Linked DNA regions of Saccharomyces cerevisiae S288C. The main gene of each other region encodes a partner of the protein of the gene in region 2 in a complex. Each region holds a gene or a part of one and is shown on either strand. Other genes may lie near its edges.

What was found. The genes of interacting proteins can lie anywhere in the genome.
Region 1: MRP51 (region 2) and RSM18 share a complex: the UniProt entries of both Saccharomyces cerevisiae proteins name them as parts of the mitochondrial small ribosomal subunit.

The regions. Positions count from the first base shown.
Region 1 is NC_001137.3:251,629-256,602, forward strand, and holds RSM18 (mitochondrial 37S ribosomal protein bS18m RSM18), read right to left. Parts: upstream 2,760-4,974; coding exon 2,343-2,759; downstream 1-2,342. Other genes in the region: TPA1 (oxidative DNA demethylase), read left to right, coding at 100-2,034; JHD1 ([Histone H3]-lysine-36 demethylase), read left to right, coding at 3,028-4,506; HOM3 (aspartate kinase), read right to left, coding at 4,747-4,974. UniProt on the Saccharomyces cerevisiae protein: Component of the mitochondrial ribosome (mitoribosome), a dedicated translation machinery responsible for the synthesis of mitochondrial genome-encoded proteins, including at least some of the essential transmembrane subunits of the mitochondrial respiratory chain.
Region 2 is NC_001148.4:324,027-329,291, reverse strand, and holds MRP51 (mitochondrial 37S ribosomal protein bS1m MRP51), read right to left. Parts: upstream 2,665-5,265; coding exon 1,630-2,664; downstream 1-1,629. Other genes in the region: isopentenyl-diphosphate delta-isomerase IDI1, read left to right, coding at 562-1,428; putative DEAD-box ATP-dependent RNA helicase DBP1, read left to right, coding at 3,028-4,881; YPL119C-A (uncharacterized protein), read left to right, coding at 5,005-5,265. UniProt on the Saccharomyces cerevisiae protein: Component of the mitochondrial ribosome (mitoribosome), a dedicated translation machinery responsible for the synthesis of mitochondrial genome-encoded proteins, including at least some of the essential transmembrane subunits of the mitochondrial respiratory chain.

The DNA of each region.
Region 1 (4,974 bases), on a different chromosome or scaffold from region 2:
AACACGAAGAGCCAACTGTTTTCTTGTGTCATTCTTTAGCACTCTTTCTTTTTATTTTTACATTTTTTAATTAAGATCACCAAATATACCGGGAATATAATGAAGAGAAAAACTGCTGAAGTTAAAGGTGAGAAGGAGAGAAATTCCAAACAAATTTCCCTCGAAGAGGACAAGATAAAGGGTATGTTCAACCCTAAAATCTGGGACAAGACTTTCCAGGATGGCTTGAAAAAGGAAATTGAAGACTCTCAGCCTTACAACTGGGGTACTATTCATGAATTGGTTAATGACGATCTTCTACGTGCTGTTCGTAAAGAAATAGAAACTGAGATCCATTTCACTAAAAAAGAAACCGATATCTATAGAGTCAACCAAAGTGGTGACTTGGCCAATTTGTCTGGTCTGGACTGGGATGACTTGTCCCGTTTGCCTAATTTGTTCAAGCTGCGCCAGATTCTGTATTCCAAGCAATATCGAGATTTTTTTGGCTACGTCACCAAAGCTGGTAAATTGTCTGGTTCTAAGACCGACATGAGCATCAACACTTACACAAAGGGATGTCACTTGTTGACTCATGATGACGTTATTGGCTCTAGAAGGATTAGTTTCATTTTATACCTACCAGATCCCGACAGAAAATGGAAATCGCATTATGGTGGTGGTCTAAGACTTTTTCCAAGTATTTTACCAAACGTTCCACATTCCGATCCATCTGCTAAACTAGTTCCACAGTTCAATCAAATTGCTTTTTTCAAAGTTTTACCGGGTTTCTCTTTCCACGATGTCGAAGAAGTCAAAGTTGATAAGCACAGATTATCTATTCAAGGATGGTACCATATTCCACAAGTTGGCGAAGAAGGTTACATACCTGGTGAAGAAGAAGCGTGGGTCCGTAACAACACATCCACTTTGGCGCAGATTGAATCTAATGTCCTAGAAGATTTTGAATTTCCAAAGGACGAGAGAAATATTTTATCATTTCATGAAGTGAAGCACTTTGAAAAAATGCTCAAGGGCGATGCTGGCGCAAAAACTGATAACACACCTAAAGAATCTATGACTAGTGTGATTTCTGATTCGGTTAAGTTGTCTGAAGCCGAGTTCACCTATCTATCTCAATACATCTCTCCTGAACATTTAAGCTCGAAAGGTATCGAAAAACTACAAAAGCAGTTTGTTGAGAACTCTTCTCTACAAATTGAGTCGTTTTTAAATGACGATAAATCAGAATTGTTAAAGAAGGTTATCAAACAAAAAGAGTTGGAACAGGAATGTCCTTATCATTCAAAAGATGTGAAAGCTCCGTGGAAAACGGCTATTCCTCCACACAAAGCCCGTTATTTGTACATCGACGGTAAGGAATACCGTAATTTCCAAACAGAAGCTGATATTCTTGAGGCGCTGAATAACAATGATTTGCCAAACTTTCAGTTTACTAAGGACGCAATTAAAATTATCTCCGATGCTTCCGGAAATAGTAGGGAAAACAATTTTGATGCAGAATTAGCGTTGATTGACCTAGCTGTATTTCACAAGAGCACAATTTTCAAGAAATACCTAGCTCTTCTAACTTCTTTGTGCCCAGTCAGTGAGCAAATCCTTATTAGAAGGTTTAGGCCAGGAATGGATTTCACATTGGCCACCAAATGTCGCTTTAATGAACTTTTGAAAAGCAATCCAGATATAATCGATGCTGTCTTGGAAGGTACTTTGTGCTTGACACCTTCTGCCGGTTGGGAATCCGGAGAGCTTGGTGGTTACGAATTGTACATGATGGACGACGACGAAGATAATAAGCAATACTTAAAGGAAGACGTTGAAGACGCTTCTGTTTATCGTGCGGATGACAGTGGTGATTCAGTATTGATTAATGATCCACCTGCTTGGAATACTTTCAATTTGGTCTTGAGAGATGAAAGTGTTTTGGAGTTTGTTAAGTACGTCAGCTGGAGCGCTAAATCTAGTAGATGGGATGTCAAAATGAAGTGGGATGTCAAATCATGTGATGAAGATGGTCAGGAAGATGAAGCGTAAACAATTAACCCGTCTTATTAAGTAAATGGCAGCTTAGATATTTATAAAGTTGTATAATAGAAGTAATAAAATTATTTGAAAAGTTATTCGTCAATTTCAGCTTATTCCTCTGGCGTGAATATCATTACCATAATCCAAATTCGAGTAAGCGAATAAAACGGGTATATTAAAGAAATATAAGAATGAATATAAGTTTAACTTAAGATCTAATTGCGATTCTTTTTACATATTGTATATTTACAGACAGAACTATGAAATGCCTTATTTTCTTAATTATTTCATGTGGAGAAGCATTAGTGTAGTACAGTTCACATTAATCCTATTGCCTGGCACCGTCTAATGGCTTTCGATAGTCTTCTTTGATTCTTTGCCGATAAGCCTGTGATATCCCTATGTTGGATTCTTCCCGTGGAGGTCACATATCTTGAAAGTATTCTTGGTCTTGCATAAAATTCTAGTGGATTTGCACCGGACTTCATTATATCGTTCCTGTTTGAGTTCTTGTTTGCCTGATATTTTCTATCTAAATGGATTCGTCCCATAGAGAAGTCAAATGGATCGTAGATAGTACCTTTGGGAAGTTTTTTGGACAAAGACTGATCGATTTTCTTTGTTTGTTGCGTTCTCCCCATTTCAATATTGACACTCTTCTTTTCTTTGATACCGAAATTGTATAGAGCACGTTTAAATGTGGAGCTTACTGCTCCCTTGATGATAGGTTGCATACCGTTTTGAATTTTTATGCCTGTGGTGGCATTCATCTTGAACATCCGAAGTTTTGTGTAGAACCTTGCCTTTTTGGTTAGAACTGTAACACTGTTAATAATGGACTCATATTTAAGTATGTAAAGTAATCCTAGATATTTTTTCCCCCAACAGGTTACCCTACAATGCAATTTAAAGGCATAATAGAACATCTAATAGAAGTGGGTGATTATAATGAGTAAGAAGACGTAATGATCATAAAACAAAATACTAATAAGCTATGGTGCAATGCAAGATCCCAATATTTGCCAGCATTGCCAGTTGAAGGATAATCCAGGCGCATTAATTTGGGTGAAGTGTGATAGTTGCCCGCAGTGGGTCCACGTGAAATGCGTGCCTTTGAAACGCATTCACTATTCAAATCTTACAAGTTCTGAAGTTCTGTCTTATCCAAATTCTGCGAAGCAAATCAAGAGCTACCGTTGTCCTAATCATAAGGAAGGAGAATATCTTACCGCATACGCTCTCATCACACAAAAAGGAAAGCGGCAAAGGAATAAAGAAAACCCTGAAGATAGTCATATAAATAAGCGGTATAATTTCAGAAAGAAGAAATTACTTGACTATATCGCTTTGAATGAGGGTGAATCGAAAAGGGATAAAATGAATCACCCTCATAAGGAGAGTTTCATGAAATCTTTTGAAAAATGGAAAAATGGCTCAAATATTATAAACGCCGCTGACTTTGCTGAAAAGTTTGATAATATAGATGTGCCGTACAAGATCATCGATCCACTGAATAGCGGAGTATATGTACCGAATGTGGGCACAGACAATGGATGCCTCACAGTTAATTATATCACCGAAATGATAGGCGAGGATTATCATGTTGATGTAATGGACGTTCAATCACAAATGAATGAAAATTGGAACTTGGGATCTTGGAATGAATATTTTACAAATACTGAACCAGACAGGAGGGATCGAATAAGGAATGTTATATCATTAGAAGTCTCTAATATTGAGGGATTAGAACTAGAGAGGCCCACTGCAGTTAGGCAGAATGATCTTGTTGATAAAATTTGGAGTTTCAATGGACATTTAGAAAAAGTCAATGGGGAGAAGGCGGAGGAGAATGACCCCAAGCCAAAAGTGACCAAATATATTTTGATGTCTGTAAAGGATGCTTATACGGATTTTCATTTGGATTTTGCCGGTACCTCTGTTTATTATAACGTTATCTCAGGACAGAAGAAGTTTTTATTATTTCCACCTACCCAATCAAACATAGATAAGTATATTGAGTGGTCTTTAAAAGAAGACCAAAATAGTGTTTTCCTCGGTGATATTCTTGAGGATGGTATTGCGATGGAATTAGATGCTGGTGATTTGTTTATGATTCCAGCTGGATATATTCATGCAGTTTATACACCAGTAGACTCTTTGGTATTTGGAGGCAACTTTTTAACCATCCGTGATTTGGAGACACACCTTAAAATTGTGGAAATTGAAAAGTTAACAAAGGTTCCTAGAAGATTTACCTTCCCGAAGTTTGATCAAGTGATGGGTAAATTATGCGAGTATCTTGCGCTTGATAAAAATAAAATCACTAGTGATGTCAGTGATGGGGATTTGCTTTCCAGGACCACTAATTGCGCAATTCAATCACTTCATGCATACGTTATAAAACCTGAAGTTAAGTACAAGCCGTTAAATTTCACTTCAAAGAAGCATTTAGCGAAAGCTTTAGCCGATCTTATTTCGTAAAATTTCTTCTTGTCCGCCACGTTCTTGTATCTTTTATTTCATCCTATGCTCTCGATGAATGAGATCTACTTTAGCAATTGATACAGTATAACCCTGACATTACATTTAGGGAATAATCGCCCCAATATAGGTTACAAAACATTAATATATATGTAAATATATGTGCGCGTATATATATATATATATATATATAAAGGGAAAATTAATATTCTATCATTAAAGTGAAGAAGAAAGGTGGATTTAAATTCCAAGTCTTTTCAATTGTTCTAAACGTTCATCAATGGCATGTTCAAATTGGTTTGAAGTATTTGTCCGCTCACTTAGTAACTTGGCATGAATACATTGTAGCGCTTTTATGGAGTCAGATTCATTGATAACGCAGGATATGTTTATTTCATTTGCCCCTTGAGAAATCATTTCAATGTTGATGCCTTCTTCAGCAAGAGTAGTAAACATGGTACCAGCAAT
Region 2 (5,265 bases):
TTTACATTTCTCTAAAACAAAAATAAAAACATGAGCAGGGTAACACTCAAGGGTCCTAAAAAAATTAGGTTTTATTACAGAAATTGTATAGGACATTTTTAATATTACGAGGGTAAATAAATAACAGTCACAGAATAGTATAGGTTATTAAGGGCTTCATGCGGCTATTTTGCCTATATTAATTTCTTTTTTTTTTCTTTTTTCTTTTTTTCCGCTGCTATCGGTAAAAGTTTCCGTTCTTGCTGGAACGAAATGGACAAAACTTAATTGTGATTGAAATTTTTCCAGTCAACAGTTTCGCAATGACGATGCCCAGCCGATTCTTTTCCCTTTAATTGTTATTAAGAAACATGATTATTCATAACTCTTTTCTTGTCGATGGGGGTTGCCTTTCTTTTTCGGTCTTAACTCCATTTATATTTATTTATTCATTTTTATCTATTTAACAGGAAACAGTTTTCTAGTGACAAGAAGGCGTATATCCCACTTAATTCAATATTAGAGTATTCGTATTTGGAATACAGGAAGAGTAAAAATAAGCCAAAAATTCATTACACCTCAATGACTGCCGACAACAATAGTATGCCCCATGGTGCAGTATCTAGTTACGCCAAATTAGTGCAAAACCAAACACCTGAAGACATTTTGGAAGAGTTTCCTGAAATTATTCCATTACAACAAAGACCTAATACCCGATCTAGTGAGACGTCAAATGACGAAAGCGGAGAAACATGTTTTTCTGGTCATGATGAGGAGCAAATTAAGTTAATGAATGAAAATTGTATTGTTTTGGATTGGGACGATAATGCTATTGGTGCCGGTACCAAGAAAGTTTGTCATTTAATGGAAAATATTGAAAAGGGTTTACTACATCGTGCATTCTCCGTCTTTATTTTCAATGAACAAGGTGAATTACTTTTACAACAAAGAGCCACTGAAAAAATAACTTTCCCTGATCTTTGGACTAACACATGCTGCTCTCATCCACTATGTATTGATGACGAATTAGGTTTGAAGGGTAAGCTAGACGATAAGATTAAGGGCGCTATTACTGCGGCGGTGAGAAAACTAGATCATGAATTAGGTATTCCAGAAGATGAAACTAAGACAAGGGGTAAGTTTCACTTTTTAAACAGAATCCATTACATGGCACCAAGCAATGAACCATGGGGTGAACATGAAATTGATTACATCCTATTTTATAAGATCAACGCTAAAGAAAACTTGACTGTCAACCCAAACGTCAATGAAGTTAGAGACTTCAAATGGGTTTCACCAAATGATTTGAAAACTATGTTTGCTGACCCAAGTTACAAGTTTACGCCTTGGTTTAAGATTATTTGCGAGAATTACTTATTCAACTGGTGGGAGCAATTAGATGACCTTTCTGAAGTGGAAAATGACAGGCAAATTCATAGAATGCTATAACAACGCGTCAATAATATAGGCTACATAAAAATCATAATAACTTTGTTATCATAGCAAAATGTGATATAAAACGTTTCATTTCACCTGAAAAATAGTAAAAATAGGCGACAAAAATCCTTAGTAATATGTAAACTTTATTTTCTTTATTTATTTACAGAACTCTGAATATACATTGATTGTTCACATTTTTTTTTTCTCTTCTCAATTTCCCTTGATTATATTCAAAAGGTTATTGGCCTCTTGAATGTTTCCCACTGATGGTCGACGTGCCCTTCTAGAGGTCAATGGTTTATAAATTGGTCTCTTATTGAAAAATTCTCTGGTCTTGTCATTTTGTGGTTCGAGTAATCTAGCGTGCATCGAAACAGAACCATTTTTCTCCATAGATGCCTCCAAGATCTCGAACAAGAACGTTTTCATTCTGATGAAATCTCCCATGGAGTTAAAGGAACTAGGTGGTGATTGGAAAAATACCACATCGGCCACAAACCCACCAATAGCTGCCAGCCATTTATTGTCGTTGTTCTCCTTAACAACGTTCAAGATTCTACCGGGTACTACAGTCCTTTGAATGACACCATTTGGTGAGTTTTTTAGCTTTCCTGGCAAGCTGTATGATAATCCACCTGTACCAATGATTTCAGTGTTAAATTTTTTATTCGTTTTTGTTTCCAACTTTTTGTTTAGAAACTTCACTACATAGTCTTCCAGCTTATTAGAATTCAATTTCAATTCATCCGGATGATTTTCCACCAGCCACTCTTTAAATTCATCTTGAAACGATCTAATTAGTGCTGTTATCTTCTTCAAACGCTTCTTCATAGCAGCAGGCGAAATATCTGTATCTCCTTTCATTTCTTTGAATAAGGACAATTTAGCATGAGACTCATCCTCAGGACGAGATATGTACTTGAAAAATGGATTTTGTCTGCCTATATTAGACACAATTGGTACTCCCATTTCTTGAAATCTTAGCCTATTCCATTGCGTACCGCCTCTAGGTTCGAATGTGGTAATTCTTTCCAACGTATCCAAATCGTTGTACACCAAATATCGAGATTTAATTTTCGAAGGAATAGCGGATTTCAACCCCCATTCTTGTCTGTATAGTGTCGATGGCTTAGTTTCGATGATTTGATGTGTTGGATGAAATTTTTTGCCAGTGTATGTCAATGGTTTATGATTGTTAGCTACTTGAGCTATTCTCGACCGTCCAAGCAACTCTGCCAATGTCATTTCGTTCAATTTTTTCTAAAATAAAGAAAAAGAAAAAGAAAAATGATCGAAACAGTCTCACCAAGGGTTGTAGCAAATGTCTGTATGATTTTTTTTCTTCATCACGGCACCTATTCGTATTGCTCCTTTAACTCTACATCTAAGTTCTTCATTCTTTGATTTCTCAAAACAAATATCACTGTCAACGTAAATATTACCCCGCGAGTTCTTTAACAATTTTAAGGGAAGGTTACTTAAGGTCATCTCTGAAGTAATGCCTTTATTTTATAACAAGGATTATTCATGATTATAAAAGATATCGGTAGTGTCAGTTAAAGGATATTTTAAGAAAAACCCCTTTGAGTGAAAGTATTACAAGAAAAAATGGCAGACTTGCCACAGAAGGTATCTAATTTAAGCATCAACAACAAAGAGAATGGTGGTGGTGGCGGCAAATCATCTTATGTCCCACCGCACTTGAGAAGTAGAGGAAAACCATCATTCGAAAGAAGTACCCCAAAACAGGAAGATAAGGTTACGGGTGGTGATTTTTTCAGACGTGCTGGAAGGCAAACTGGGAACAATGGCGGGTTTTTTGGCTTTTCTAAGGAAAGAAATGGAGGGACGAGTGCGAACTATAACCGCGGAGGCAGCTCAAATTACAAATCATCTGGAAATAGATGGGTAAATGGCAAGCATATACCGGGGCCTAAGAACGCGAAATTAGAAGCCGAACTGTTTGGTGTACACGACGATCCCGATTACCATTCATCTGGTATAAAGTTTGATAATTACGATAATATTCCCGTAGATGCATCTGGAAAAGATGTTCCTGAACCTATACTAGATTTTAGTTCTCCCCCTCTGGATGAGCTGTTAATGGAAAATATCAAACTTGCTAGTTTCACCAAACCTACTCCAGTACAAAAATATTCTATTCCAATAGTTACCAAAGGTAGGGATTTGATGGCATGCGCACAAACGGGCTCAGGTAAGACAGGTGGGTTTTTGTTTCCGCTCTTCACGGAGCTATTCAGGTCTGGGCCCTCTCCAGTACCCGAGAAAGCACAGAGCTTTTATTCTAGAAAGGGATATCCATCTGCTTTAGTACTTGCACCAACTAGAGAATTGGCTACCCAAATTTTTGAAGAAGCAAGAAAATTTACGTATAGATCTTGGGTTAGGCCATGCGTTGTTTATGGTGGCGCGCCAATCGGTAACCAGATGAGGGAGGTTGACCGCGGCTGTGACTTATTGGTGGCTACACCAGGGCGGCTGAATGACTTATTAGAACGCGGAAAAGTTTCTTTGGCTAATATCAAATACCTGGTATTGGATGAGGCTGATAGAATGCTAGATATGGGATTCGAACCCCAAATTCGCCATATAGTTGAAGAATGTGATATGCCCTCTGTGGAAAATAGACAGACCTTGATGTTTTCCGCCACATTCCCAGTAGATATCCAGCATTTGGCACGCGATTTCTTAGATAATTATATTTTTTTATCAGTAGGAAGAGTCGGTTCCACCTCAGAAAATATCACGCAAAGAATATTATATGTCGATGACATGGACAAAAAGTCTGCGTTGTTAGATTTACTGTCTGCAGAGCATAAGGGATTGACATTGATTTTTGTTGAAACGAAAAGAATGGCGGATCAACTCACAGATTTTTTGATCATGCAAAATTTCAAAGCTACAGCCATACATGGTGACCGCACACAGGCTGAACGTGAACGTGCCTTATCTGCTTTCAAAGCTAACGTAGCTGATATCCTGGTCGCAACAGCTGTAGCAGCGAGAGGTTTGGATATACCGAATGTCACACATGTCATTAATTATGATTTGCCCTCCGACATCGATGACTACGTTCACAGAATTGGTAGAACAGGCCGTGCTGGTAACACAGGCGTGGCTACTTCATTCTTCAATAGTAATAATCAGAATATTGTGAAGGGTTTGATGGAAATTTTAAATGAAGCGAATCAAGAAGTTCCCACGTTTTTAAGTGACCTGTCAAGACAGAATTCAAGAGGTGGAAGAACTAGGGGAGGAGGAGGTTTTTTCAATAGTCGTAATAACGGTTCAAGAGACTACCGTAAACATGGTGGAAATGGCTCATTTGGGAGCACGAGGCCAAGGAATACTGGAACATCAAATTGGGGTTCGATTGGAGGTGGGTTTAGAAATGATAATGAGAAAAACGGTTACGGAAATAGCAACGCTTCATGGTGGTAAGCAGAAAGAATAAAAGACTAATCCAAATATAGAACTCCTTTAATTTTTTTCTTTTTATTAATCTCCCTTTTTCCTTTCTTTATCTCTTCGTTTTCACTCCAGTACTATACAGTCATACGTTTTATGCATCCATTAGTCGATGAATTGACTCTTTCACGCTACTTGACCCACGGTACTTCAGTTTTATCAAGTTCCCTTTATTCTGTTGCTTTCTTTCTCTTTTTTTTTCCCAATTTCCTTTTTTTTTGCTCTTGTCCCAATCATAAATGGGTGAGTTTACCGTTTATTGGAATGGATATTTTGGAAGCCCTTTGTTTTTATAGAGAGGGAAAAATACGGAATATTTTTGAAATAGGTGGTCTATTACTTCAGAGTTTTTATAAT